Linked DNA regions of Bombyx mori. The protein of the gene in region 1 purifies or fractionates together with the protein of each later gene. This does not show direct contact. Links are inferred from orthologs where the notes say so. Each region holds a gene or a part of one and is shown in the gene's direction. Other genes may lie near its edges.

Region 1 (4,169 bases):
CATTTGAGACGTCAATATTTATCTGATAAATTCGTTTTCAAATCCCTACAAATTCAAAATAATCACATTATTACCAAACTTAAAACTTTAAATGAACTCATAGAATCCTCTTCATTTTGGAAACATAAACAGTTACCATGTTTAATAATTAGCTACAGAAAATATTTGTCTATTCAAACTCCAACTCATCACTCTCATATTTTCCCTCTATTTTGTGTAAACTATATGGCATTGATTTTAAAACCGGATATTCATCTTGACATGGGTGTTTCTAAGTATCAACCCCAACCAAATACTAACTTTAATTTTGTAATAGACCAAGATTGGAATGATTATAACCATATATATACAGATGCTTCCAAACACCCTCAAGGTTGTGTTGGTGTAGGAGTCTATCATTCGCAATCAAAAATAGTTGAAAAGATAAAATTACCATCTGAAACATCAGTGTTCACTGGTGAATGTTTTGGAATATACAAGGCCATAGAATACATTTTGATATTCAAACTAAAGAAAACTTTAATACTAACCGATTCAAAGAGTGCTTTACAGGCTCTTGCAAAATTTCCTTTTAAATCTCAACCGATTTACCCTATTCTCTTAGACTGTAGAAACCTGTTAATGAAATGTATGGATCAAAATCTTATAGTATCATTTGTATGGATACCTAGCCATTGCGGAATTAAAGGAAATGAAATAGTTGATAGAATTGCAAACGAGGCTATCAATTGTGGTGATATTTATTATTTCAAAAATTATAGTCATGATTTAGTTAGTCTCCCTAAAACATATTTGAATAATGCTTGGAGTGCACAGTGGTATAATGGCGTTAAAGCAAAATATTACCGAAGGGTACAACCAACCATTCCTTCCAAACCATGGTTCTACAAATATAATTTTAAACGCCACGAGACTTCCAGTTTGATACGGATGAGATTAGGCCACACGTGTAGTCCGGCACATCTAGCGACGATCGGAGTGCTGGATAGCAGTAAGTGTGAATGCGGTGCGGACATTGGCGATTTAAATCACATTATTCTTTCATGTCCCCTTTTTGATCATTCACTTCTTTATAGTTCTTTATCATCACTTAGTATTCCTTTTCCTATATCTGTACCTTATTTATTACATACAGTAGACCCAGTTATTTATAAAATTATTATCTTGTTCCTCAACAGTTTTAACCTAAAATTATAATTATATATATTATTTATTCTTCCTAATTATATTAATCCTAATCCAATTTTCCTGCCTAAACCTTATCTAACTTATATTTTCTGATTTGATTTTTGCTTCCTAACCTTTATTTTGAAAGTGGCAAATAACACTTGGTGTTGGGTCCAAAAAGAAAAAAAAAAAAAAAAAATCTATGATTACTCTTTTATCTGGCTTGGCAACATCGGCCATTTGAAATGGTCTCATTTCCGGAAGAGGTAGCGCGGCGGCATAGCTCCGCTAGCGTTTTTAAGTTTAATAACTTTAAAGTTGTACCTGGGTAGTTCTAAAGTAGATAAGTTAATTGTGAATTGATGTGAATTGGTTTTACTCTAAGAATGGGCAAACCTGGTAAGTTAATACTTTTTTAATAATATTGTCCGTTAATACCACGTGTGGTTACCGCGTGTACTCGTCCTCGCGTTATGCAGTTTAAGAATGAAATTGTGTAATTTACAAGTTTTCCAAGTACCAATACTGAAATATATCCTGAAAATAAGTTTTAAAAGACCAAAAAACACTATAGAAGAAACTTTTCGAAAATTGCCACTTATTTTCATTCAGATGTAGTAAACTACGCATTAATGTAATTTTTTTAACCATTAGTTATGAATTTTAATAAACAAATTTTAACCAAATTGACCTGGTAACTAAACTGTTACCAATACAAATGCCAGTCTTTTGAGGTTATACGTTCGGCACCACGTTGCGCCGATGCCCGATAATTACAAAGTGTATGTAATTATTTTTTGTCTAGAATTTAATGGCGGTCGCGGAGGAGGCGGCGGTCGCGGCGGTTTCCGTGGAGGTCGCGGCGGTGGCGGAGGCCGAGGTGGCTTCGGTGGCGGCCGTGGAGGCGGCGGTGGCGGCAAGTTCGAGAAGAGAGGCGGAGGCGGGGGCCGTGGCTTCGGAGGTAGAGGTGGTGGAGGTAAGATATTACTTCGATAACCTACTAAAGTGACACCACCACGTGTCAAACATAATTAATTCCCATGAGAGTAAATAATAGTAAAGTGAAATAGATTTTGCTCAATATAATAAGTACCTTTTCGTTATAAAAATAACTTAATGTATATTTTAATATCTAGTTATTTTGATAAAGAAAAGGTGAGCTACTACAAATGCCTATAATAAATTTAGTAAACCATTTAGTTTTCTATTCACATTTATTTCACTAATCAATATGATGATCAAACGGTCCCTCTAATCTCGACCTATTCGTGAAGACTATGATACCACATACCCACTTCTGATTGAACAGCCACTGTGATTTATTACAAAATGTTATGGTAATATTTTATTGAGGAGTTGGTTTGTTTTAGGCCGTGGTCGTGGTCGTGGTGGTCCCCCGAGCAGGGGAGGCTTCAAAGGCGGAAAACAAGTCATAATTGAACCACACAGGTTTGTATTAGTTGATTAAAAATATTGATGCAAATTCATGAAGAGATTCCTTCAAATAACTCTTCTCTTGCTACAACATCATACTAATTTACAAGTAAAATATTTATAATTGAGAGAAAATATTTCAATTATACTCTAGTTGTTATTGGCATACTTATTGCAATTGTCTTTTTTGATCTTGGGCATCTATGTGGTTACTCGTTTGGTAATAGCTATAACATATGTGAAACTTGATATAACTGGAACCCAAGGATAGTTGGCTGAACATATATGCCTTCAAGTGACTTTTCTACATTACATCGTAATACTAATTTATAAGTAATATACGTATAATTGAGAGAAAATATTTCAATTATACTCTAGTTGTTATCGGCATGCTTATTACAATTGTCTTTTTTTATTATGGGTATCTACATGGTTACTCATTTTGTAATAGCTATAACATATACGGAACCTGAATTAATTGGAACTCATATTGACAGTTGGCAGAATATATTTAAACCACTTGTTTAGCATAAGATCAATTGATCAAAAGAGGATCTACAATACAGATTAAAAGGGTTGTTATAATAAGAATTTTTTTAAATGATGTTTACAAACAATAACTTTCGTTCTTCTGAAAGCGAACGCTTGAAGCTAAATTTTGTTTCTGATTATTTATCCTTGGTCAATCGCAACTGACATTAAAAAAAACTTTGTTCAAAGTTTTGGTTTTTTTTTTAGGCATCCAGGAGTATTCATAGCTAGGGGCAAAGAAGATGCGTTGGTCACTAAAAATCTAGTGCCAGGATCAGAAGTTTATGGTGAAAAGAGAATATCAGTTGAGGTTAGTAAAAATAAGTAGAGTTTGTTATACTGAATTGGGTGTAGTATAAAGATCTGTAACAAATTTCATCCAGTTTAAATTTACGTATGTTGTTTGAATGAACTTTTCAATGCAAAGAAACCATTTCATAATAGTTTTGATTGACTGTAGTACCATTTAACACAATTATATTTCAATAGCTTTCATGTTTGACAATTGATGGCTTAGTAATCTGATTTCATGAAATGATAAATCCATGATTAATCTGTATTTTTCAATGCTTTGTGTAAAGAGTATTCATTAACTTTGCATCATTACATTACATTCAAATGATGATTATGGTCCCTCTAATCTAGACCTATCCATGAAGACTATGTCCACATACCCACTACTGATTGATACAAAAAATACTAAAATATGTTTTGTCTTACCAAAGGAACTCCACTAACCGCTCTGGGCAATTTCAGAACGAAGGTGATAAGGTGGAGTACAGAGTCTGGAATCCGTTCAGATCGAAATTGGCAGCTGCAATTATGGGTGGAGTGGATGCTATACACATGGCCCCTGGGTCAAGAGTTTTGTATCTCGGAGCTGCCAGTGGAACAACAGTCAGTCATGTCTCGGATGTTGTGGGACCAGTAAGTTTAAATACGTCACGAAGTTTTTTTTTTATTACTTAGATGGGTGGACGAGCTCACAGCCCACCCGGTGTTAAGTGGTTACTGGAGCGCATATACATCTACAACGT
Region 2 (3,950 bases), on another chromosome or scaffold:
CCCTCACTCCGCCTACCATGGAGTTCGTGTTCAACAGATTCACGTTGCGCTTGTGTAGTGTTTGTGAATAAGCGCGTCGCGTGACGTCACACTGCATGCGCATCATGAAAAGTCTGCCCATCTCTCTCTCGCGCGGTCTAGCTTATGAGTGTGAAGAGGACAGTTAAGGTTTTGCTTTTATTAATGTTTAATATAGCGTGGTCTTGTTTTATGGTTTTAATATTAAATTATCATTGTCTAATTATAATTGCATAAGTTGATAAAAAATGATATGCAATAGCTTTACCGCGGCAGTTCCTGAGTACCACAGGTTTTTTGAAGTTATACTTCTTTAGGCGCGTTACGAAAAATGCGCGCGCACCGTGACACAAAATTAACAGAAATGAAGTTGCCCACTAAAGAAAAAATGCTACAAACAAAACAAAAATGGAACCTCTGTTAGTGGCGCATGTTGGCACGAACGCCGCCTCTGTTCATTGTGTATTTATATTTATAATATTTATCCACATGCTTTGAGTTTCTACATTTAAAACACGTGTTTTCATTTTGTTTTCATTATACAACTGCGAATTTTATATGTGCGTCTGAATGATAATCAGAAGTGATTTAAATTGAATATTTAAATCAATACTAATTAATATTATAAAATGTTTGCGAAAAAGCTGTGCTCATCAACCTTCCTAAGTGCTCTAATACAATTGAGGTTAACTATCCCTATGTATTATTTAGTAATATAAATGACAACATTATTATTTAATATAATTCATACTAAATATTATTAAATTATTAACGTTAAATATTTATTATTAATTATATAATATTTAAAAAATAAAAATAAAAATAAAGTATAACTTCTTACGCACGTACATAAGTACACGCATCCTTTTTTTATTTAATTCCGACCATTTTCATATTTATCTACCTTTTAAACCTTCTCTGGACTTCCACAAATGATTCAAGACCAAAATTAGCCAAATCGGTCCAGCCGTTTGCTAGTTTTAGCGAGACTAACGAACAGCAATTCATTTTTATATATATAGAAGAAGAAGATAGATAGATACATTACTTAGAAAAAAACTTAATGTAGGTATATACTATGTTCCTTTCGCCTGTATCAATGAACAAAAACGCTGACATTGACACTTAAAATAAACAACAGTCAAAGTCACAACACACATGGCATTTCTATGAAAGAGTACGGTACGGTACTTAATACTTGCCTGTTTTAGAATTTAATATTATGTGTTATTACTGATTTTAATGTTAAAAACAATATTGTTTTGTTACATACACAGTCTTAGTTTTATTTGTAATCTGCTGTTAATTTTTCGGAATTAATATTTATGTCTGTTTACTAGTTCAAATTAAGATGTCTAACGTAAAAATTAAAGTTATAAGTCGTAACCCAGAAGATTATTTGCGCGCTACGAAACGAGATATTCAGAAAAGTAAGTTAACTGCTCAAAAGTGTCTCATTGATAAAATATTATAATCTGTATATTTTAACAGTTAAAGGCTAATTTCCAGTACCTCGCAACTATGACCCGAGCTTGCATCCACTAGAAGCACCCCGTGAATATGTGCGTGCTTTGAATGCTGTAAAATTAGAGAGGGTATTTGCCAAGCCCTTTATTGGTTGTTTAGATGGTCACAGAGATGGGGTTTCTACTATGGCCAAGCATCCTAGCCAACTAGCAGTTCTAGCTAGTGGAGCATTTGATGGTGAAGTACGTATTTGGGACTTAACTGTACGGAAGTGTACAAGAAATTTTGTTGCTCATGAGGGATGGGTGAGAGCTTTATGTTACAATCCAGATGGAAAGCATTTTATGAGTGTTGGTGATGATAAAACTATTAAAACGTGGAAAGCTGAAGCTGTCACAGAGGAAGATGAGGAACCCACTAATACGTTGCTAAGCATGTCAGTGGTGTCTGGTATAACACATCATAGAAACAAACCAATCTTTGCCACCTGTGGTGAACAATGTCAACTGTGGGAGAACACAAGAAATGAACCGATTAAAGTTTTTAAATGGGGCGTAGATAGCTTACATCATGTTTCATTTAACCAGGTATGTTTGTCAATGAACATTTTTTAAAAATGTTTTTATTGTTAAATTTTTTATTTAAAATTTTAATTATTTTTATTTTACTGGTGGTAGGACCTCTTATGAGTCCGCATAGGTAAGTACCACCACTCTGCTTATTTTGCCGTGAAACAGTAATGGGTCTCAGTTTGAAGGGTGGGGCAGCCGTTGTAACTATACTGAGAGCTTAAAACTCATATCTCAAGGTGGGTGGCAGCATTTATGTTGTAGATGTCTATGGGCTCTGCTAATCATTTAACACCAGATGGGCTGTGAGCAGCACACACATCGTCCACACATCTATGCAATAAAAAAAATACATATAGCATTAATTAGTGCTGCATATGCACTAGAATTAAAGTGTTAGTATGTAGCAGTTAGTGGTCCCACCTTGAGATATTGATATGATTGAACTCTCAATTACAATATATCTTACCCTTCTATTATGGTTATTAATAGAAATATTCAACAATAGCTATGTATGTTGATAATTTTTGAACCAGCCTATGCCATAATAACCTTGTTTTTCAACAAAGCTATACTTTCTGGTTTGACAGTACTTAAAATAGATTTATAGAAATGAATAGAGGAAGCCTTGTATATGAGTCGTCTATTATCAAAGGTGGCAATCTGTGCATTTAGACAAAAAAAATTTATTGATATGTCAATACAGATTGATTTGAATATAATCGTCTCCTTCAAAGAATACGGTTCAAAACCTGCATTAAATAAAGGTTAATACTTAACCTGTTATTTATCTAAGATGTCGTTCAGAAGAGTTTTGTGACTGCCAATGGAATACAAAGTCAATAATTCGTTTTTCTGATTTACCAATAATTGTACAAAAGTCACATTGCCGGCTTTGATAATAGTCGACTCATATATATCTGGTAAGAATATTATTGCAGTGAATGCATTACAAGTCAGACAATAATAGGAATAATTCAAGGTTGGGAAGACAGGGTCACGGGGAACACAGGGCTTGATATGATGTCAAAAAGGAAATTCTGTATTATTTCAGGTTGAATACAATTTGTTGGCTTCTTGTGCTAGTGACAGAAGTATTATTTTATATGACTGCCGTGAATCTGGTCCTCTGAGGAAAGTTGTATTGGAGTTACGATCCAATGCACTCTCCTGGAACCCTATGGAAGCATTCATCTTTACAGTAGCTAATGAAGACTATAAGTTAGTTTATATTTTTATTAATTTGCAATCAATATGTATGAACCAGTTAAGCATTCATAGCCATTGAATTCAAACTAAAGTATATATGACCAAGAGTATGTAATGTTTGTGTAAATGGCAATATTGTGTTTTTTTTCTGTAAACCCTATATATAGAGTATACAGAAAAAAACTGATAAATGTTCTGAACATAATATAAAGAACTATATCTATAGAACATTTAACAGATTGGAACACTTAATTTACCTAGCTGATCCAAACTGGTTAAAATTCCTGAGTTATGTGTATTTTGGCTTCTCTGTAGAAGTTATAGTCATAAATAATTGTGGTATCTGGTTTAATATTAATCAAAATCTCTGTTAATCGATGATAATTAAAATTTACTGATTATCTAATACTTAACATCCTGACTGCTCAATTCTCAGAGTGACAAAAGTGGTTTTTAGAAGTCTTTAAAGATGCCATCAAAGCATTATCCCATTACTAGATTTGAACTGTCCAGGGCTAACAAGATTGGGGACAATACAAGTTTTAACTGTTGTGTACTGATATATGCAAATGTGGGTACACTAGAATAATTAGCTTGACACCAGCAACCTGTAGATGTTTTTCATGGTCACACCAGTAGATAATAATGTGTACATATAATTTTACATTATGCATGTTACTTACAGAA
Region 3 (3,500 bases), on another chromosome or scaffold:
TCTTGGGTGACTGTCAGCGTAACCTTAACTAGTAGGTGAGCTCACTAAAACTTATACCACATGGTGAGTGGCGCATTTACGTTGTAGATGTCCATGGGCTCTAGTGACCACTTCACACCAGGTGGGCTGTGAGCTCCGTCCATTCATCTAAGCAATAAAAAAAACACTGTTAAAGTTACGTGACAGTTAAGGGTGTGTAATTTTTTTTACTACGATTCCTTCTCTATAACAGGTGACAAAGCGAGGGAAGATATTAAACAGGAAAGTGGACAAGATGACATCGCAGCAGAAAATCAATAGATTGGTCAAAATGATTGGCATGACCGACCCCAAGGTGGTCGACATCACCGCGCAAAACCTGGGTAAGCCGACGCCGCTGGTGCCGCAGCGTCAAGGTACAGTATGCGCGCGAGTTCATGTCCATCGGGGCCAGAGGCGACGCGCGGGGGACAGCTCGCCCCGCCTTCACCCTCCTCCCCCATTTATCTGACGTCGAGTGTTCTCCTGACGGTTGTGACGCGGCTTATCGATATCGAAAATTTACGCTAACGCTATTGTGTTATTTAACCATGACTACTCCGCTTCCAACAAGTTCAGATAGAAAAAAACCTACTGAAAAAAGATACATACTGTTTCCGACTCTGATCTGTCAGTTGTCTTTTCATTTGATAGTGGAATATAAAATTGGAATTTAAAAAATATTTTTCTCTATTAGAAATAAATAAGTAATTACTTATCACATTTATTTTATTTCATAATTTGCAAAATTACCTTAAGTTATTACACATTAAACCAAATTGAAAGCTGTTGACTAAATCGGTAGTTATTATCGACATTACCATAATTAATTAGGTCACAGCACTACTGCATTCTTCAGGATGGACATGAATTCGCGCGCCTACTGTAGACTGGCCCACTGAGTTTCTCGCCGGATCTTCTCAGTGGGTCGCGTTTCCGATCCGGTGGTAGATTCTGCGAAGCACGGCTCTTGCTAGGGTCCGTGTTAGCAACGTCGTCAGGTTTGAGCCCCGTGAGCTCACCTACTAGTTAAGGTTACGTTGAAATAGCCTCTCAAGGCTATCAGTTAAGGTAGGAAAAAAAAGGATTTTTCCGACCCACTGACACTGTCATTAGACGCCTGCAGCTTTAGCACTGGGGGCACGTATAGGGACCCTGGTAAACGCATTCCTTGAACTTAAACAGTTCAAGGTTTTTTTAATATTGCCTGCGTAGGCAGACGGGCATGCGGCCCACCTAATGGTGAGTGGTTACCGTTGCTCAAGGACTTCAGCAATGCCAGGGGCAGAGCCAAGCCGCTGCCTACCGTTAAATACTCTCCACAAGTCTCGTTTGAAGACGAACATGTCATAGTGCTCGCGAAACACCCTGAAACACTGCGAAAATGTGAAAAGTAATCAGCAAAACAGCCGCCCCGGTGAAATTGGAAAGGCTTTGAGGCCCCAGTGTTGAAAAAAACCGTCTACTGATCAACATTCTTTTCTTGCACTACTACCGTCTTCTCGTCGAGTTAGTTGCGGGATCGTGTGGTCCACGTGCCCTAAACTAGACGTGGTCGGACACCACGGAACTGGAAACCAGTAAAGCAGCTTATGGTCTTGGGACAGGTGCTGCAGAGACCCTGACGGAGAGCAGGATCACGTGCTCCGTGCAGCACAAGGATGCGTATCTGTACTACGTGCTGAAGAGGCACCCCGGCAGGACGATCGTGTTCTGCAACTCCATCGGATGCGTCCAGAGGTGAATTAGACCAAGGCCATTTTTTTTTCATTTTTTTTTTAAAGTGATTGTATGACCTGTTAAGTAAGTCCTTTAAGTCATATCTTATTATAATGTATTTTCCTATTTTTATGAAAAATGATAATATGGAGTGAAATGAAATGAAATGAAGATGATTAATTTGAAACATTAATCAACTGGGATGAAATTAAATGAAATGAGGTGATATGGGATGAAATATAATCTCAGTAAAGGTGGTCATTTACTGAGATTTTTTCAGTGGACTTTTTGGAGGATCCCGAGAAGATATGTCCAGCGGCTTTGTTTCATTTTCCCACATTTGTGCACTTTCACAGATATTAAACAGTTAATAAACCACCGTTATTACACATTTAAACCTGAAGAAACACTAAATACACAAAATAAAACAAATCACACAACTTCACTCCTCGCGTTCCCGCCAAAAAGTCCTTTTTAAGTTTTCACGCCCTTGTAGGCAGACGCGTATACGGCCCACTTGAAAATACTGATCAGCAGCTCTATCACTGAGAATGAAGTCTTCGTGGCCTAAAGGATAAGACGTCCGGTGCATTCGTATGTAGCGATGCACCGGTGTTCGAATCCCGCAGGCGGGTACCGATTTTTCTAATGAAATACGTACTCAACAAATGTTCACGATTGACTTCCACGGTGAAGGAATAACATCGTGTAATAAAAATCAAACCCGCAAAATTATAATTTGCGTAATTACTGGTGGTAGGACCACTTGTGAGTCCGCGCGGGTGGGTACCACCGCCCTGCCTATTTCTGCCGTGAAGCAGTAATGCGTTTCGGTTTGAAGGGTGGGGTAGCCGTTGTAACTATACTAAGACCTTAGAACTTATACCTCGAGGTGGGTGGCGCATTTACGTTGTAGATTTCTATGGGCACCAGTAACCACTTAACACCAGGTGGGCTGTGAGCTCGTCCATCCATCTAAGCAATAAAAAATAAAAATAAAACTCCGCAAACCCCATTTGGTGAGGGCGTATCATAGCGCTCGTAAGCATTGAGAAGGGAAGGTCATTCTAGAGTCGGATGGTACGTGGCACAAAATATCTCTGGAAACACACGATGATCTGTTGCTCAATGGCTACGGGAGCCCATGGACATCATGGCTGCCGCATCCGTCTCGAGACACGAGACCGAGGTCCGTAACTCGGTAGTGCTCGGTAGGTACTCGGTAGTAAGCGATACCCCGGATTCCAACTTTAATTCACCGGTGAACATTGTCTTAGATTTGTTGTTGTTTGTTCAATTTTGTTGTTGTTGTTTATAGTAGGTTGGGAAAAAAGTCTTTTCGCATTATAGCATGTATGAACTTGTAATAAAATCTCTTTGGCTATACTATTTGTATCTGGCTGGTTTTGGTATCATTAAAAGTTTAAATTTTAAAGAAGATAATTCCAAATTCAAATTAGGAAAATGTGTGATTTTTATTTATTTTTCGTACTGTCAAGATGAGTGAATCTAATGAAGAAATTCGATACATTTTAAAATTTTACTACAAAAAAGGTAAAAAAGCAATGCAAGCCGCGAAAAAAATTTGAGATCTTTATGGACCTAGTGCAGTGTCTGTGAGAGTAGCACAAATTTGGTTTAAGCGTTTTCAATCCGGAAATTTTGATGTCAAAGATGCACGTCGCTCTGGTCGCCCTATTACGGATAAAATGGATGCCATGTTTGAAAAAGTGGAGTAAGGTCGGCATATCAGTAGTTACGAC
Region 4 (2,604 bases), on another chromosome or scaffold:
ACAGGCACAATGAAATATAGTGTTGAATAGTATAGTTGGATTTTCTCTGTTGATCTGCAGTTATTACTATTCATCATTATAATCAAGAGTAATGTAAATCTAATGTAGTTGTTGTAGTTAATAAAATAGTAGTGAAATGAGAGAAATTAAAAAAATACCTTGTTTGTGTATTATAAACTTGTTGTTTGTTGATTAAAATTCATTACCTACTTATTGAATGTTTTACAGTATTGTAGAATAAATTGCACTTATTTTCATTCTCAATGTACATAATAAAACCAATTTATATAAATTCAGGTGAAAGAGAACTGGTAGAGTTCCTGACAGAAGAAATAGTTGCTGAACGCAAAGCACAGAAGGTCAAGTCTCTCCCTGCTGAAGTCGAAGGCTTTACTGTAAAGGGAGACGGTGCTGAAGTTGTTTTAACAAAGCAGCTTAAAGATGAAACGTAAGTAATGAAATCTTGAGAAGGAGAAATATTGAATAATTTTTTTTTGGGGAAACAGTTGTTAATAAATGTTGCCAAATACTTATTTTACTGCCCAGCAATCTTCGTCAATTTGTTGAAATTCGAAAAACTAAAGAAACAAGCCCACAGAAATATCATTAAAAATAGTGAAATTTTAAGTCTAACTATATATTTTTTTCAGAATTCGTGTCACATTCAACGTTAATCACACTGTGGACTCTGATGACTTTGAGGGTGATGTTCAGACTGAGAAGCAAGAGTTCTCTGAGATGCGTTCCAAACCTCAGTTTGAGGTTGACCTAGTCCGAGGAGACACCACCCTTGGTTTCACCTGCTCCTATCTTCAAGATCCACCTGCAGCTTCTGCTGATGAATATAGTGAGTATACATAAACTTAATTATTTCTTGATTCTGATTAATCAAATGGGTCTAAAGATTGAGTACTAAGAAGTCAAAATAGTCTGTTTACCATATCGACGCTTGAAAGACAAACGTGACTAAGCGACAATAACTGCTTTGTACATAAATGATAGGTAATAACCATATTCAATGCACAAAAAAAAATATTTCTAGGTCTATTAAAAGCATTCCAATCCTACAGCTACTAGCTAGATTCTACTACAGCTAGATTCATTAAAATAAATTTTGTTTTCAAATATTTCAACTTTAAATTAGTCTACTGTAAAGTTCACGCACTGTCGCTTAGTCACATTTGCCTTTCAAGTGTCGATATACAATTTACAAAGAAAAAAGTTTATTTCAGTTTAGAATTTGGTGATAGTGCAAGAATGTGTCAAGACTCACCCTCCCCTTTCCTTTTTTCCCTTTTTGTTTCTGCCATAATACAATTAATATATAACCTCAATCTTAAATATCAAGGTGTCATCATTATTCACTTTTGATCTGTGTATAGGGGTATCAAAATTGCTGTTGTATTAGATGAAGTACTAAAGGTGTGAAGGTAGCAAGAATCCAGTAGATCTGAGCAGCATGATGTCGATGTTTTTTTTTTATTGCTTTGATGGGTGGACGATATCACAGCCCACGTGGTGTTAAGTGGTTACTGGAGCCCATAGACATCTACAACGTAAATGCGTCACCCACCTTGAGATATAAGTTCTAAGGTCTCAAGTATATATTCAAACCGAAACGCATTACTGCTTCACGGCAGAAATAGGCAGGGTAGTGGTACCTACCCGTGATGATTCACAAGAGGTCCTACCACCAGTAATAATGCAAATTATAATTTTGCGGGTTTGATTTTTTGGGGGTTGTTTTGGACCTTCAGGAGGCCTTTATCTAACAGTAGTTGTCTGTAAATTTGATTATTGAAAATAAAATGAAAATATATTAAAATAGTCTATGTAAGCAAAAATAATTCAATTATTGACATTGTTAGCATTGAATCAACACATTATAGACAAAAAAGATCAGAGCTTTTTGCAAATATAAATTATTTGGTATCACATACAAAATACCAGATTATAATTTTTATAGTTCTATAGGGGCAAAAATGATTGAAAATTTCCACTTCACGCAAAAGATATGTTAAGTCGTAAGATTTGTTCAGATCCGGCCATGCTGTAAGCTTTGGTCATAGTAGTTCTCAGAGGCTAGTAGGCTAATGTAATTGCAGTTAATCAACTCAACTTCAACGGAAACTAAGTACTATAATTTAACTACTTTTAAATTGTGTTTTCAGACGATGTGTTCGGCATTGACGAAATAACCCTATATAAGGGTGAATGGAATGACAAAGTGTATGCAGTCGCTGGTGATGTGCTCGATGGGGTATGTTATCTATTCATCTTTATTTAGTATGTAAGATACAGCATCTTGTCGGTTTTATATAATACTAGCCGTACTCGCCCGCTTCGCTTGGGATTTAAAATTAACATTATTATTTATTGTCATTATTATTAGGGAGTCCAACACTCATATAAATATAAGTACATGTATTTTCTACATGGATACTAAGTTTCAAGTCAATCGGCATGGCTCAGTAGTTATAACGGAACATCCGTAAAAACCACTAGATTGATATATTAGTATAGATATTAGTTTCACATATTATTATATCAGCTCAAAAAGATCTGAAAGCCAACCTCTCTATGTGTATTTTCTAGTAAGTAGCT
Region 5 (4,199 bases), on another chromosome or scaffold:
ACGAGCAACATTTTCTCATTTGTTATTTACTAAGCGCACGACACGCGAAAACAATTACAATTCTAAAATTAATTCCAAAAATAACACTGCCAGCACAAAACGTAGTTATGTATCTACACCATCTACACAATATACAAATGTAGAAATTTTTTATTGACATAAAACAGCCTTATTTTTTTTACTGGCATTGGTAACAGACCTATTGGCCAAAAACAATCCAACACTACAACTTAAGTACCTATGTATACAATGCTACAACGTCTACAGCTTTGAGACGGTCGCTATGATCCTATTGTTCCTAATGGAAGGTAAAATGAACGAGACCCATAGAGCAAAAGACCGATGCCGTATCATTAATAATTACGAAATTAAATTAAATAAGGTAGATCACAGGACACCTTAGGTGTTAGATAAGATGAAATGAAATATTATCTTGATATAGTAAAATCGTAAAAGTTATTCAGAGATTAATAGATTTTTTGAGAGAGCCTTTGAAACAATTTTCAGCGATTTCTTTTCATTTTCTCCCACTTGTATAATCCTAGAAACCAAACGTCTGTCAACCAAATACATATTACATATTTAAACGAGAAGAAACGCTAAATTGACAATACTTAGTGTTAAGATTTTATGTGGAAGATTAAGCAGACTCTGTTTTTTTTATTACAAATTATATTTTATTCACACGACACATCTCATAAGAAGAAAATGTAACCATGGTAACGAGTTAACATTAGTAGTACGGCGACACGCAGCTAGTGCTATACCTCAACACCTAATTCTTATTAAAACCTGGTCTTCTGGATCTTATTAAAAACCCTAAAGCGTAAATAGTTTTCCTTATTTTCCTTACTTAAGCTACAGTATCGGCTTTTCAATAACAATCTATTATCGAATACTATGTAATAAATAATGAAAGTTATATAGTATTAAACAATACCAAAATGATAATAAGTCATGGCAGTAGTTGTATGATAACGGCGCGATGATCATAATGTTTAAATTACCTTAAGAATGATGCACTAATTAAAAATATTGGTCAATTCCAAAACATGTAATTTGAGTTTAAGTGAGTTTTTCATCTCAGGATTTCATTTAAGATCATTCTTTTCACTTCTCCTATAAACAGAAAGATTAGATTAAGAAAACTAAATTCTCATACATTTTTCTCGCACTATTGGATTAGCAAAAGAAACAGTTTGGTTTAACATCGCTGACAAAATGTTTGGTGGGTATGCGACCAGTTGTATGAAATGTTTTATTTTGTTAATTTAGTGTTTCTTAATATTTAAACGTGGAATAGCGGTGGCTTGTTAAGTGTTTAACTTCTATCAAAGCGTATAAATGTGTAACTAATCATCATTTTACTGAATCTTTATTTTATCCCAATTCATTACAGTCTCAGATTTCACCCAGATCGCTTAATTTTATTCATAACATAGCCCCTTATTTAAATTTTTAAAAAAACAAGCATATATGTAAAAGCGTGATACCTTCGCCTTTCCTGTTGGAAAAATGGAAACTCTCTGACATGTGACGACTACGGTACGGTCACTGAAGTAGGTCTATGGATACGGTAGGTACTCTGACCAATAGTAACTCTGACTGACGCGAGTGCATATGACATTTCAAGATAGTTGACGGTGGCGGCGTGGTTTACACTGTTGAAGCCGGAAATAAGGAGATTCACTAAATATTAGACAAAAACTTCAAAATGAATTTAACTACAGAAATTCAAGCGGATGTGAATTCCTTAGTTCACCAGTATTTAGAAAAAATTGACAAATCGCTGGCCCAGACCTTCATGAAGAAAACTAAAGCGGTTAGTATATAAACCACGTGGGGCCTCCACACGTGTTTTTTTTAAATTTTGTGTGTAATTCGGGAGTTAACATGCTGTATTGATCGTTTGCGATTCTGTTTAGAAGATACCCTAATAAAACATTAACTTCGCGCTAAGCATCGCAGTTTTTCTTGGTTGCACGCTACATTGTATCAGCGCCCCACATGCGGCAGCCGGCTTAATTGGTCTCTTGCTGAACGTCATTTATTCCGCAGACATCGGTCCTCTGTTGGATCCTAAATTATTATACTAACATGTATAAAATGCCACCGAATAAAACTATAGAGCAATTCATTTTTAAACATGCCGACGACATTGGTAGACACCTGTTTGCCTCAGAAGATTTCGTGGTGGGTCTGGTACTGGTTTTTATAATAACAGATGTTGACCCTTTTTTAATTCATTGTTAACAACATTACCAGGATCCAACATATATAGTCACACAATTCTAAACTTTCATGGTTGCTGATAGTGAGCACTGATCTGCCCATTTCTGTATTAAAGCAGCCATTTAATTAATGTGGACTAGGTACTGCTGTGTTGTATTTGAGAATACAATGTCTAATGTTAAGGTGGGACGCTACAATAAAATATCTAATTATTTCAGAGTATTAAAAGGTATAAATAACTACAATTTACTAAGTAGCTTGTAAAATTTTTTTTTTAGAAACCACGTGCCAAAAACCAACAGACCCTCTTAGACATCATTGCCAAGTTTAATCAAGGAAATAAAGCAAAAGCTGAAAGGTAAGCCTATTTCCATTGTTACTTTATCATATTGCAGTTATTAGACTGTCATTTAATCTTGTGTAAATTGAATAATAATCTTGTTTAAATTTAGAATTCATCATGGTCTAAAGGATAAGACGCCTGGTGCATTTGTATCAAGCAATGCAAGTGTGCCGGTGTTTGATTCCATAAACAGGTACTATATTTTCTAATGAAATATGTATTTAACATATGCTCATGAATTACTCCCATGATGAAGCAATAATGTGTTTCGGAATAAAGGATGCAGCAGCCATTGTATTGTAAAAACTGAGACCTTAGAACTGTCAAGGTGGGTGGTGGAATTTAAATTGTTGATTTCTATAGGTTCCAGTAACTGTTTCATACCAGATGGACTGTAAGATTATCCAACGATCTAAGCAATAAAAATATTGGACATGATTCATATTATTTTAGTATTTTGTTTTAGTCTTGTTAGAATGTATTGATAAAGTAGTGCTTGCTAAGAATCTATGAGTTTTGGAATATTCTAGATAGTAGTATTGTATTTTTGGCTTCAATTCTCAAAAGTTAAGTAAATATTTTATCCTTCAATTTATAAGTTAGTACAAGTATTTTTAAGGTAAACTGAAAATTATTTAATTTTTGACTCGAAGATTAATGATTTTTAAATATCTTTTTTTTTACCAATATCTTGGGTATCCAACAAAAAATTCAATATATTATAAGTTTTAAAGCACTGATCAGCATATGAGTTTCCTTTTAAAATAAAGAAAACTCAGAATTCAGATTCGATATACAAAATCTGTGGCTAATATAGTTCCAGTGACTCGAGCGAAGAAGATGCCCCTAAGAAACCAACAATTCAAACAAATGGGAAAGTTCCAGCAACTAAGAAAAAAGCTGAAAGTTCAGATTCTGGTAGCTCCGATGATGAGCCACCAAAACAGGTAACAATTTAGTAAATTTTCAGCGTGGAAAATCATAAATAATGTACACTGCTAGTACTTCTTCTTAGATAAACTTCAATGATGTAAACAAGTTTCAATGAACAAATGTGATTTTATAACAATATTCGTCACTACCTCTGAGAATACAATATTTATTTATTTATTTACCTTGATAAAGATATCAACTATATGTGATTTTTATTGCACTTTTAGGCATCTAAGCCCAACCAAGCAGTTAAAAAACTTAACATTACACCAGCTAAGAAACAAGAATCATCAGATGACAGCGACAGTGATGATGATGTTACGTCAAAACCTAAAAAGCAGCCTGTTAAACCAATAAAAACAAATCCAGTACGTCCACCACAAAAAAAAGAGGAATCATCAGATGACGATAGTAGTGATGATGAATCTGAGAAAAAGGTTCCACAAAAATCAGTTGTTACACCTGCCAAACTTCCAGTCAAACAAACTAATTCTAAAACACCTATTAAACAGAAAGAAGAATCTTCTGATGATGACAGTGATGATAGTGAAGATGATAAAAAGAAACCCCCTGTGTCAAAACCTACATTAAAGGCACAGACAAAAAAACAGGAGTCCTCAGATGACAGTGATGATAGCAGTGATGATAACAAATCAAAAAAGAAACCGGCTCCAAAAGCAACTCCAGCTAA
Region 6 (4,087 bases), on another chromosome or scaffold:
TACAATATTAGATGTGATGTGGGAGCGGTTAGATATTATTTCAGGTTCATAAAACAATCTGGAAGACTAAACCACTACAAGGATTATTTGGGCTAACTTGGGCATTAATTTGTGAACTCCAATTTTGGTAATGATAAAATTTCATAAAACAATGTCCCTAATACTTAAAAATGCTAATAATTGAGTACTGGGTTGTTGAAGATGTATCTGAGTGTAAAAATAATTTGCATATAACTATTAATACTAATGTAATATGACCCAACCTAATACTCAGGATTGTATTATGTAGAATTCTTACGTATGTAAATTTAATTACTTCAAGATTAACTGATGAATTGGTATGCTCAGGGCGTGAGGTGAGCGCGTGGAGCGTTGCTGTGTGCGGGGAGGGGGTTGTGTGCGCTGTTTGCTGACAGACGCGGAATTGCCGTAATTGCAGTATCAAAGTTATGAGTAAATCTTTGTATTTATTGCCCAACCGACACATGCATTTTGTACAAAATTAATGACACGTTGCTATATATAGCATTACAAAAAAAATAAAAAAAATATAAAATGTAAGTATATAAAAGATCTTTATTCCTATGATAAACAAACTTTATATCAACAATATTGATGCAAAAGAGTTGATATAGTAAGTAAAATGTGTGCACAGATTTCTAGTAGTAATCGGAACAATAATGCATCAGAAACAAACCCAGAGGCTGTATGTTGTTGGAGCACAGACTGCACTAACATTTGCATTTGTTTAACAGGCCGGTGCTGCTCGCTGGCCTGTATGCTGTTGCAGTCTTCTATGCTGTTTCGAGCTCGTCTAGGTTCTTATCGGTAACCCCCTGCCCTCCTTTGTGTGCATTGCCTTTAAACTTGTAGTTTGAGCATGACTTGCTGTAAAAGGTTTGTAGCAAGCATCTTTTGCTTTCAATGTATTTAGAAGAGAAGATCGTCACACATGGATCAGCTACAGGATTTTGTCGTAGGTTTTTTTGTCAAATAAAATAATAACTATGTAAATGACTTTTATTTATCTCTCCAATACAAACTATATCGACGCTTGAAAGGCAAACATGACTAAGCGATGATGCGTGAACTTTACAGTAGACTAATTTAAAGTTGAAATACCTGAATTTTTTATTTATTTTAACGAATCTAGCTGTAAAATTGAAATTATTTTAATAGACTTAGAAATATATTTTTTTGCGCATCGAATATGGTTATTGCCTATCATTTATGTACAAAGCAGTTATTGTCGCTTAGTCATGTTTGCCTTTCAAGCGTCGATATACTCTGAAAATAAGATAGTATATCAACTGATAAATAAGTGGTGGATACTGCCAGTCACTAAAAATGTCAGCCGTACTTTAGGGACAGAAAAACAAATTGATCACTGTCGTCATCACACAAACTTTTTAACACTTTGTTTTCATAATAAAAACGTCTAAGTTTGATTCAAGGAGAAAAGTAATATAAGGAAATGAAAATAAGAATTGTACACACATATTTGTCTTCGAAATTAAGCGACATTTAGACTTGCGGTGTCTTACTTCAAATATAAATTTAATGAGGTAATTAAATTGATTCTCTACCTGTTGTTACCTGAGGAATTTGCTAACACTAGTCCTAGCAAGAGCAGTCCTTCGCAGAAACTACCACCAGATCGGAAACGCGATCCGGCGACAAACTGGGTTAATTTGCTCGCCGAACCTTTCGTCGCAAGCTACGGGTTCCAAGATTCCTACTCACGGTAACGATAGAGCAAGGTGTGCTAAGAATCTGTATTACGGTAGGCTACCTTAGGGCCGTGTCACACCGGAATGGCAGCGATGCCTGCCTCCAGACTACATGCGCCTAGTCTTCTCTTGACTAGTTTAGTTTCTTCATTCGGCAATGATACTCGTGTGTTTGGAGTGAACATTATGGAATTCGTTATTATATAAGACCGCGGTGTCGCGAGCGGCCTTGAAAACTTGCATACGCCCCGTCATGACCTATGCAAGTGTAGTGTTCGCTCACGTGGCCCGCACTCACTTATAATCATTCCAAGTTATTCAATCCCGTTTTTGCAGGATAGCCGTCGGAGCCCCGTGGTTCGTCAGGAACGTCGACCTCCATGACGACCTGGACTTGGAGTCCATCAGTAAGTGTCTGCGTCGATGCGCCACTTCGATAAAGAGGCACGACACGAGAACCCTCTCATCGTGGCCGCCGGTAACTACATTCCCGATCCTGCGGAAATAATGGAAAGCAGTCGACGTCGCCCCAAACACGTCATTTCGGTTCCTCCCGATCCACTAACGGTGCTTTTGGGTACCTCAAGCACCGGTCACCGTTCTCGTTGAAACCGTCGCTTGCGACGAAGGGCTCGACGAGTAAATGAACCCTCAGACACAGCCCACTGAGTTTCTCGCCGGATCTTCTCAGTGGGTCGCGTTTCCGATCCGGTGGTAGATTCTGCGAAGCACGGCTCTTGCTAGGGTTCGTGTTAGCAACGTCGTCAGGTTTGAGCCTCGTGAGCTGTGACGTATAATGAACGATCGCTGTTGCAGGTGGGTTCTCGACCGCACAACGGAAAACGTAGCGTTGGACGCCCCTTGATTAGGTGGTGCGATTACTTCCGAATGATTGCCGGCAAGAGGTGGATGAAGAAAGTCCAAGATCGGGCTCAATGGTGTAGATTAGGAGAGGTCTATGACCGCAGTGGACAACTGTGGGCTGATGATGAACAACTTTTTAGCTACAGTGACAGTGCACAAGCTTAGCAAAGTCAAATAAAGCCACTAGACGTTTCTTCCAAAAAATCTCAGTAACCATCATTTTACTGAGACTCCATTTCATCAAATGTCATCTTATTTCATTTATTTTCAACCCAATTCATTAGTATCAAGTAAATCATCTTCATGTTTCATCAATATCATTTAGCTCCATATTTTTCATAAAAGAAAATTAAAGATTATGCTGTATGGTACGACACCTTCGCCTTTCCTGTAGTAAAAACGGAACTATTATTATTTATGATAAATGCATAGATAACACACAATATAGATACACGGCAGGAAAGGAGCAGTGTGTGTTTTGATATTGTTGTTTTTTTTAAATCAAAAGTTCATTAAAAACCTTTGAAATGTCGTCTTCGTTCTTCCTCAAAGGCAAATCTAGACAAGTTCAAAAAAGAAAAGGAGAAAAAATAAAAAAGAAACCTGTGAAGAAATCGACACTTCCTAACCTAGAAAACGGACACGAATCGTCCGATAGTGACTTAGATTTAAAGAAATTTTCAGATGCAGAAGAATCTGAAAGTGATCATGAGACAGTGGAGGAAAAGAAATTAAGGTTAGCTAAAAAATACTTAGAGGAAATTGAGAAAGAAGAAGCTAAACGAGCCGAAGAAAAGGAGATCGATGATGCAGTCCAAAAACGTTTACAAAGAGATTATCTTGAACAGAGAGGGAAACTTAAATTGGAACTTGCTGATAAATATCAGGCACCTACTGACAGCGATGTCAAAGTCATACGAGCTAAAGAACATCGACTTACTCTCACATGTGTTTGTATCAGTAATGATAGTAGCTTAGTATTTACAGGCAGTAAATGTAGCACGATTGTTAAATGGAGTATCAAAGAAAAGAGAAAAGTTGGTACATTAACATATAAAACCCACTCGAATTTCTTAAAAGGTGGCATTACTAGTTTAGCTATATCAACAGATTCAAAATATCTCGCATCATCCGACGAGTCATCCAACATTCAAATTTGGGACCCAATAACCTTTAAGCATATACATACATTTAAAGGACACAAAGATTCTATCATAGGTCTAGTTTTTAGAAAGAATACACATGACATGTACTCTGCAAGTAAAGATCGCTCTGTAAAAATTTGGTCATTAGATGAAATGTCTTATGTGGAAACACTTTTTGGTCATCAAACTCCAATATCATCCATTGATGCATTGACAAGGGAGAGAGCAATAACATCTGGTGGCAGGGATAGTACAATTAGAATATGGAAAATAGTAGAGGAATCACAGCTAATATTCAATGGCCCTGTAGGTAGTCTTGATGAAGTGAAACTTTTGGATGAAGAACAT
Region 7 (2,688 bases), on another chromosome or scaffold:
TTATAACACGAACAAGTTTGGTCAATTACTCTTGTTATTTCAAAAATCAGATACATTAAAGTGCTGTTTTTAGTGAATCTCTTGTGATGGATGACTTGTTCAAAATCTTCTGGAAAAAATGGATGATTAGACACCAACTCTCTACTGGTGATAGACTTTTATTTCGTGTTTAAAGTTGGCATTAAAATTGTGATTTCTATTTATTGTATTTGATCTATTCGCTGGTAGCTTCTATGGCTTCGGTGCCCACCTAAAGACAGGTGAGTTCTGAGTCATTTTAGTCATCTCTTCAGTGTCCACTTCAGTTTTGGTGATAACGCGTATTGTGAACCCAAAGAGTATCAGCTTATCAACACTACTGGTAGTAGAGCCTCTTGTGAGTCCGCACGGGTAGGTACAATCACCCTGCCTATTTTTGCTGTGAAGCAGTAATGCGTTTCGGTTTGAAGGGTGGGGCAGCCGTTGTAACTATTCTGAGACCTTAGAACTTATATCTCAAGGTGGGAGGCGCATTTACGTTGTCGATGTCTATGGGCTCCGGTAACCATTTAATACCAGGTGGGCTGTGAGCTCGTCCACCTATATAAGCCTTAAAAAAAAACCCAGTCAAACCCTTAGCAGTAAAAAGTTCGTTAAATACGAACAAACTTTGGCGGGAACGCGAGGAGTGTAGTTGTGTGAGTTGTTTTATTTTGTTAATTTAGTGTTTCTTTAGGTTTCATTGTGTATTAACAGTACTTTATTAGCAGTTTAATATCTGTAAAAGTAGACAACATGTGAGAAAATTAAATAAAGCCGTTGGACGTAGCTTCTCGTGATCTTCCAGAAAGTTCCCTGAAATAGTCTCAGTAAATAACCACTATTTTACTAGGACTAAATTTCATCCGATATAATCTCGTTTCGTTTAATTACTTCCCAATTGATTAATGTCAAATTAATCAACTTCATTTTATTTCGCTCCATATTATTGTTCTTTAAACTAATTTCATTTAAATACAGCATTTACAAAAGATTAGTCTGTAGGATGTGATACCTTCGCCTTTTTAGTGGGAGAAACAGAACTAAGTACTACATTACTGTACCTATACGAAAAGTCATAAAATTGAAATTTGAAAAAAAACTCGTAATTGAACTATTTAGTAAGTCGTTATAAATATTTTGTTTTTTTTTTCAAACGTTGGGTAAATTATTCTGCACCATACATTTAATTTTACATAAAAAATGACTACCCTATACTATTAAAATGTAAAGCTGTATAATTCATGTTGCCTCTGATTATTAAAATGAAAAAAAATATAACCAAAAAAACAAATGTCAAAGAAGCCACAACCCGCGTGTCTTTGAAACAACAGTATCAGAATCGTTAATAATATTTATACACAAAATATTTGTGATTTAAGTGTAGAATTGTGGCAAATACCTAAATTTTCTCTCCCTTACGTGAAGATTATTTCCTCAGTGAAGCGAGAGATCGCCGAGAGGTTGAGTTTTATTAATTCAACACCGCGGCATTGTAAACATGGTAAGTTGCACGTGTTAGCGATCTTCTTGGTATTAATTTACCTATAATAAGTCAGTTTTTTCATTAATCAGTTTCAAATTGAAACTTTCAATCATGTGATATCCAAAATACGGTTGCAATTTGAACTCATGTGAATATTTGAGGTTATCTTGAGATTGATTACATTCTAACTACCTAGAACATCTAAACTGTTCATAACTTTAATAATCTACTTTCACAGGCTGAAACCGAAGCTGCAGTGAACCCCAAGGCATACCCATTGGCGGATGCCGCCTTAACCGCTAAAATCCTGAACTTGGTGCAACAAGCTACCAATTACAAGCAACTTCGTAAAGGCGCGAACGAGGCCACAAAGACCCTTAATCGTGGTCTATCTGAGCTCATCATAATGGCAGCAGATGCCGAACCTCTCGAAATTGTTCTTCACATTCCAATTCTGTGCGAAGATAAGAATGTGCCATATGTGTTTGTTAGGTCTAAGCAAGCACTCGGTCGTGCTTGCGGTGTTTCCAGACCCATCATATCTTGCTCGATAACCATCAATGAGGGCTCACAACTAAAGCCTCAGATCCAAACTATTCAGCAAGAAATCGAAAGACTATTAGTTTAAGTATAAATAGACGTGTAAGGAAATTATTTTGTGTCGAATACAATATTTTAATAAAATAACGTATTTTATTTATTGATGCTTTTAGGAACAAAAAGGACCAGGATCTTTTGCTATTTAAACATAAAAAGTAGAACTTTACAATTATGAACTTTTACAATTGTGGCATCCTCCCTGATAATCTTTTCATCAACAAGTGCTTGTGTCTATTCAAACAGTACAGTGAAATGGTTTTTCAGTTCGATTTGAAGTATAGGACAGCTGAATTACAATGTTATCTACTGAGAATTTCACGTGATATAGGTGATGACAATCACTATGTGGTGTAAATACACTGTTAACTGAACAAATAAGGCACAAGTCGTCTAAAAAGAAGCTACATTTGTTTATAAAAAAATGGAGGTCTGCTTTGTTTCCGCTATATAAGTACAAATATTCTTTAGCAGTAGCAATTTTTTTGTTCACATGCCTTTGTCAATAAGCAAAGATATAGATTTTTCCGCTTTCTATTGAAGTTAAATTCTTAATCGCAAATCGCATAAAGCCTTAAATAAAACCA

Evidence for each region.
Region 2: the proteins of rRNA 2'-O-methyltransferase fibrillarin (region 1) and DDB1- and CUL4-associated factor 13 purify together in Homo sapiens (affinity purification with western blotting; 3 studies listed by BioGRID, with this or other methods). This does not show direct contact. The link is inferred for Bombyx mori from reciprocal best matches to the Homo sapiens genes FBL and DCAF13.
Region 3: the proteins of rRNA 2'-O-methyltransferase fibrillarin (region 1) and ATP-dependent RNA helicase DDX24 purify together in Homo sapiens (affinity purification with mass spectrometry; 3 studies listed by BioGRID and IntAct, with this or other methods). This does not show direct contact. The link is inferred for Bombyx mori from reciprocal best matches to the Homo sapiens genes FBL and DDX24.
Region 4: the proteins of rRNA 2'-O-methyltransferase fibrillarin (region 1) and mitochondrial matrix protein p33 purify together in Homo sapiens (affinity purification with mass spectrometry; 4 studies listed by BioGRID and IntAct, counting the BioPlex papers as one, with this or other methods). This does not show direct contact. The link is inferred for Bombyx mori from reciprocal best matches to the Homo sapiens genes FBL and C1QBP.
Region 5: the proteins of rRNA 2'-O-methyltransferase fibrillarin (region 1) and nucleolar protein dao-5 fractionate together in Homo sapiens (co-fractionation; 3 studies listed by BioGRID, with this or other methods). This does not show direct contact. The link is inferred for Bombyx mori from reciprocal best matches to the Homo sapiens genes FBL and NOLC1.
Region 6: the proteins of rRNA 2'-O-methyltransferase fibrillarin (region 1) and U3 small nucleolar RNA-interacting protein 2 purify together in Homo sapiens (affinity purification with mass spectrometry; 3 studies listed by BioGRID and IntAct, counting the BioPlex papers as one, with this or other methods). This does not show direct contact. The link is inferred for Bombyx mori from reciprocal best matches to the Homo sapiens genes FBL and RRP9.
Region 7: the proteins of rRNA 2'-O-methyltransferase fibrillarin (region 1) and RpL7Ae purify together in Homo sapiens (affinity purification with mass spectrometry; 5 studies listed by BioGRID and IntAct, with this or other methods). This does not show direct contact. The link is inferred for Bombyx mori from reciprocal best matches to the Homo sapiens genes FBL and SNU13.

The regions. Positions count from the first base shown.
Region 1 is NC_085130.1:7,816,901-7,821,069, reverse strand, and holds the start of rRNA 2'-O-methyltransferase fibrillarin, read left to right. Parts: upstream 1-1,369; 5' UTR 1,370-1,553; coding exon 1,554-1,566; intron 1,567-1,972; coding exon 1,973-2,143; intron 2,144-2,537; coding exon 2,538-2,616; intron 2,617-3,339; coding exon 3,340-3,442; intron 3,443-3,888; coding exon 3,889-4,059; intron 4,060-4,169.
Region 2 is NC_085118.1:7,564,351-7,568,300, reverse strand, and holds the start of DDB1- and CUL4-associated factor 13, read left to right. Parts: upstream 1-1,150; 5' UTR 1,151-1,369; coding exon 1,370-1,448; intron 1,449-1,527; coding exon 1,528-2,072; intron 2,073-3,108; coding exon 3,109-3,275; intron 3,276-3,950. UniProt on the Homo sapiens protein: Part of the small subunit (SSU) processome, first precursor of the small eukaryotic ribosomal subunit.
Region 3 is NC_085126.1:10,464,072-10,467,571, reverse strand, and holds part of ATP-dependent RNA helicase DDX24, read left to right. Parts: intron 1-232; coding exon 233-362; intron 363-1,625; coding exon 1,626-1,758; intron 1,759-3,500. UniProt on the Homo sapiens protein: ATP-dependent RNA helicase that plays a role in various aspects of RNA metabolism including pre-mRNA splicing and is thereby involved in different biological processes such as cell cycle regulation or innate immunity.
Region 4 is NC_085114.1:15,032,574-15,035,177, reverse strand, and holds part of mitochondrial matrix protein p33, read left to right. Parts: intron 1-297; coding exon 298-448; intron 449-650; coding exon 651-847; intron 848-2,171; coding exon 2,172-2,260; intron 2,261-2,604.
Region 5 is NC_085128.1:10,883,313-10,887,511, reverse strand, and holds the start of nucleolar protein dao-5, read left to right. Parts: upstream 1-1,399; 5' UTR 1,400-1,714; coding exon 1,715-1,822; intron 1,823-2,510; coding exon 2,511-2,590; intron 2,591-3,392; coding exon 3,393-3,522; intron 3,523-3,735; coding exon 3,736-4,199. UniProt on the Homo sapiens protein: Nucleolar protein that acts as a regulator of RNA polymerase I by connecting RNA polymerase I with enzymes responsible for ribosomal processing and modification.
Region 6 is NC_085123.1:3,098,102-3,102,188, reverse strand, and holds the start of U3 small nucleolar RNA-interacting protein 2, read left to right. Parts: upstream 1-1,287; 5' UTR 1,288-3,121; coding exon 3,122-4,087. UniProt on the Homo sapiens protein: Component of a nucleolar small nuclear ribonucleoprotein particle (snoRNP) thought to participate in the processing and modification of pre-ribosomal RNA (pre-rRNA).
Region 7 is NC_085117.1:6,325,430-6,328,117, forward strand, and holds RpL7Ae (ribosomal protein L7Ae), read left to right. Parts: upstream 1-1,314; 5' UTR 1,315-1,519; coding exon 1,520-1,522; intron 1,523-1,742; coding exon 1,743-2,132; 3' UTR 2,133-2,188; downstream 2,189-2,688.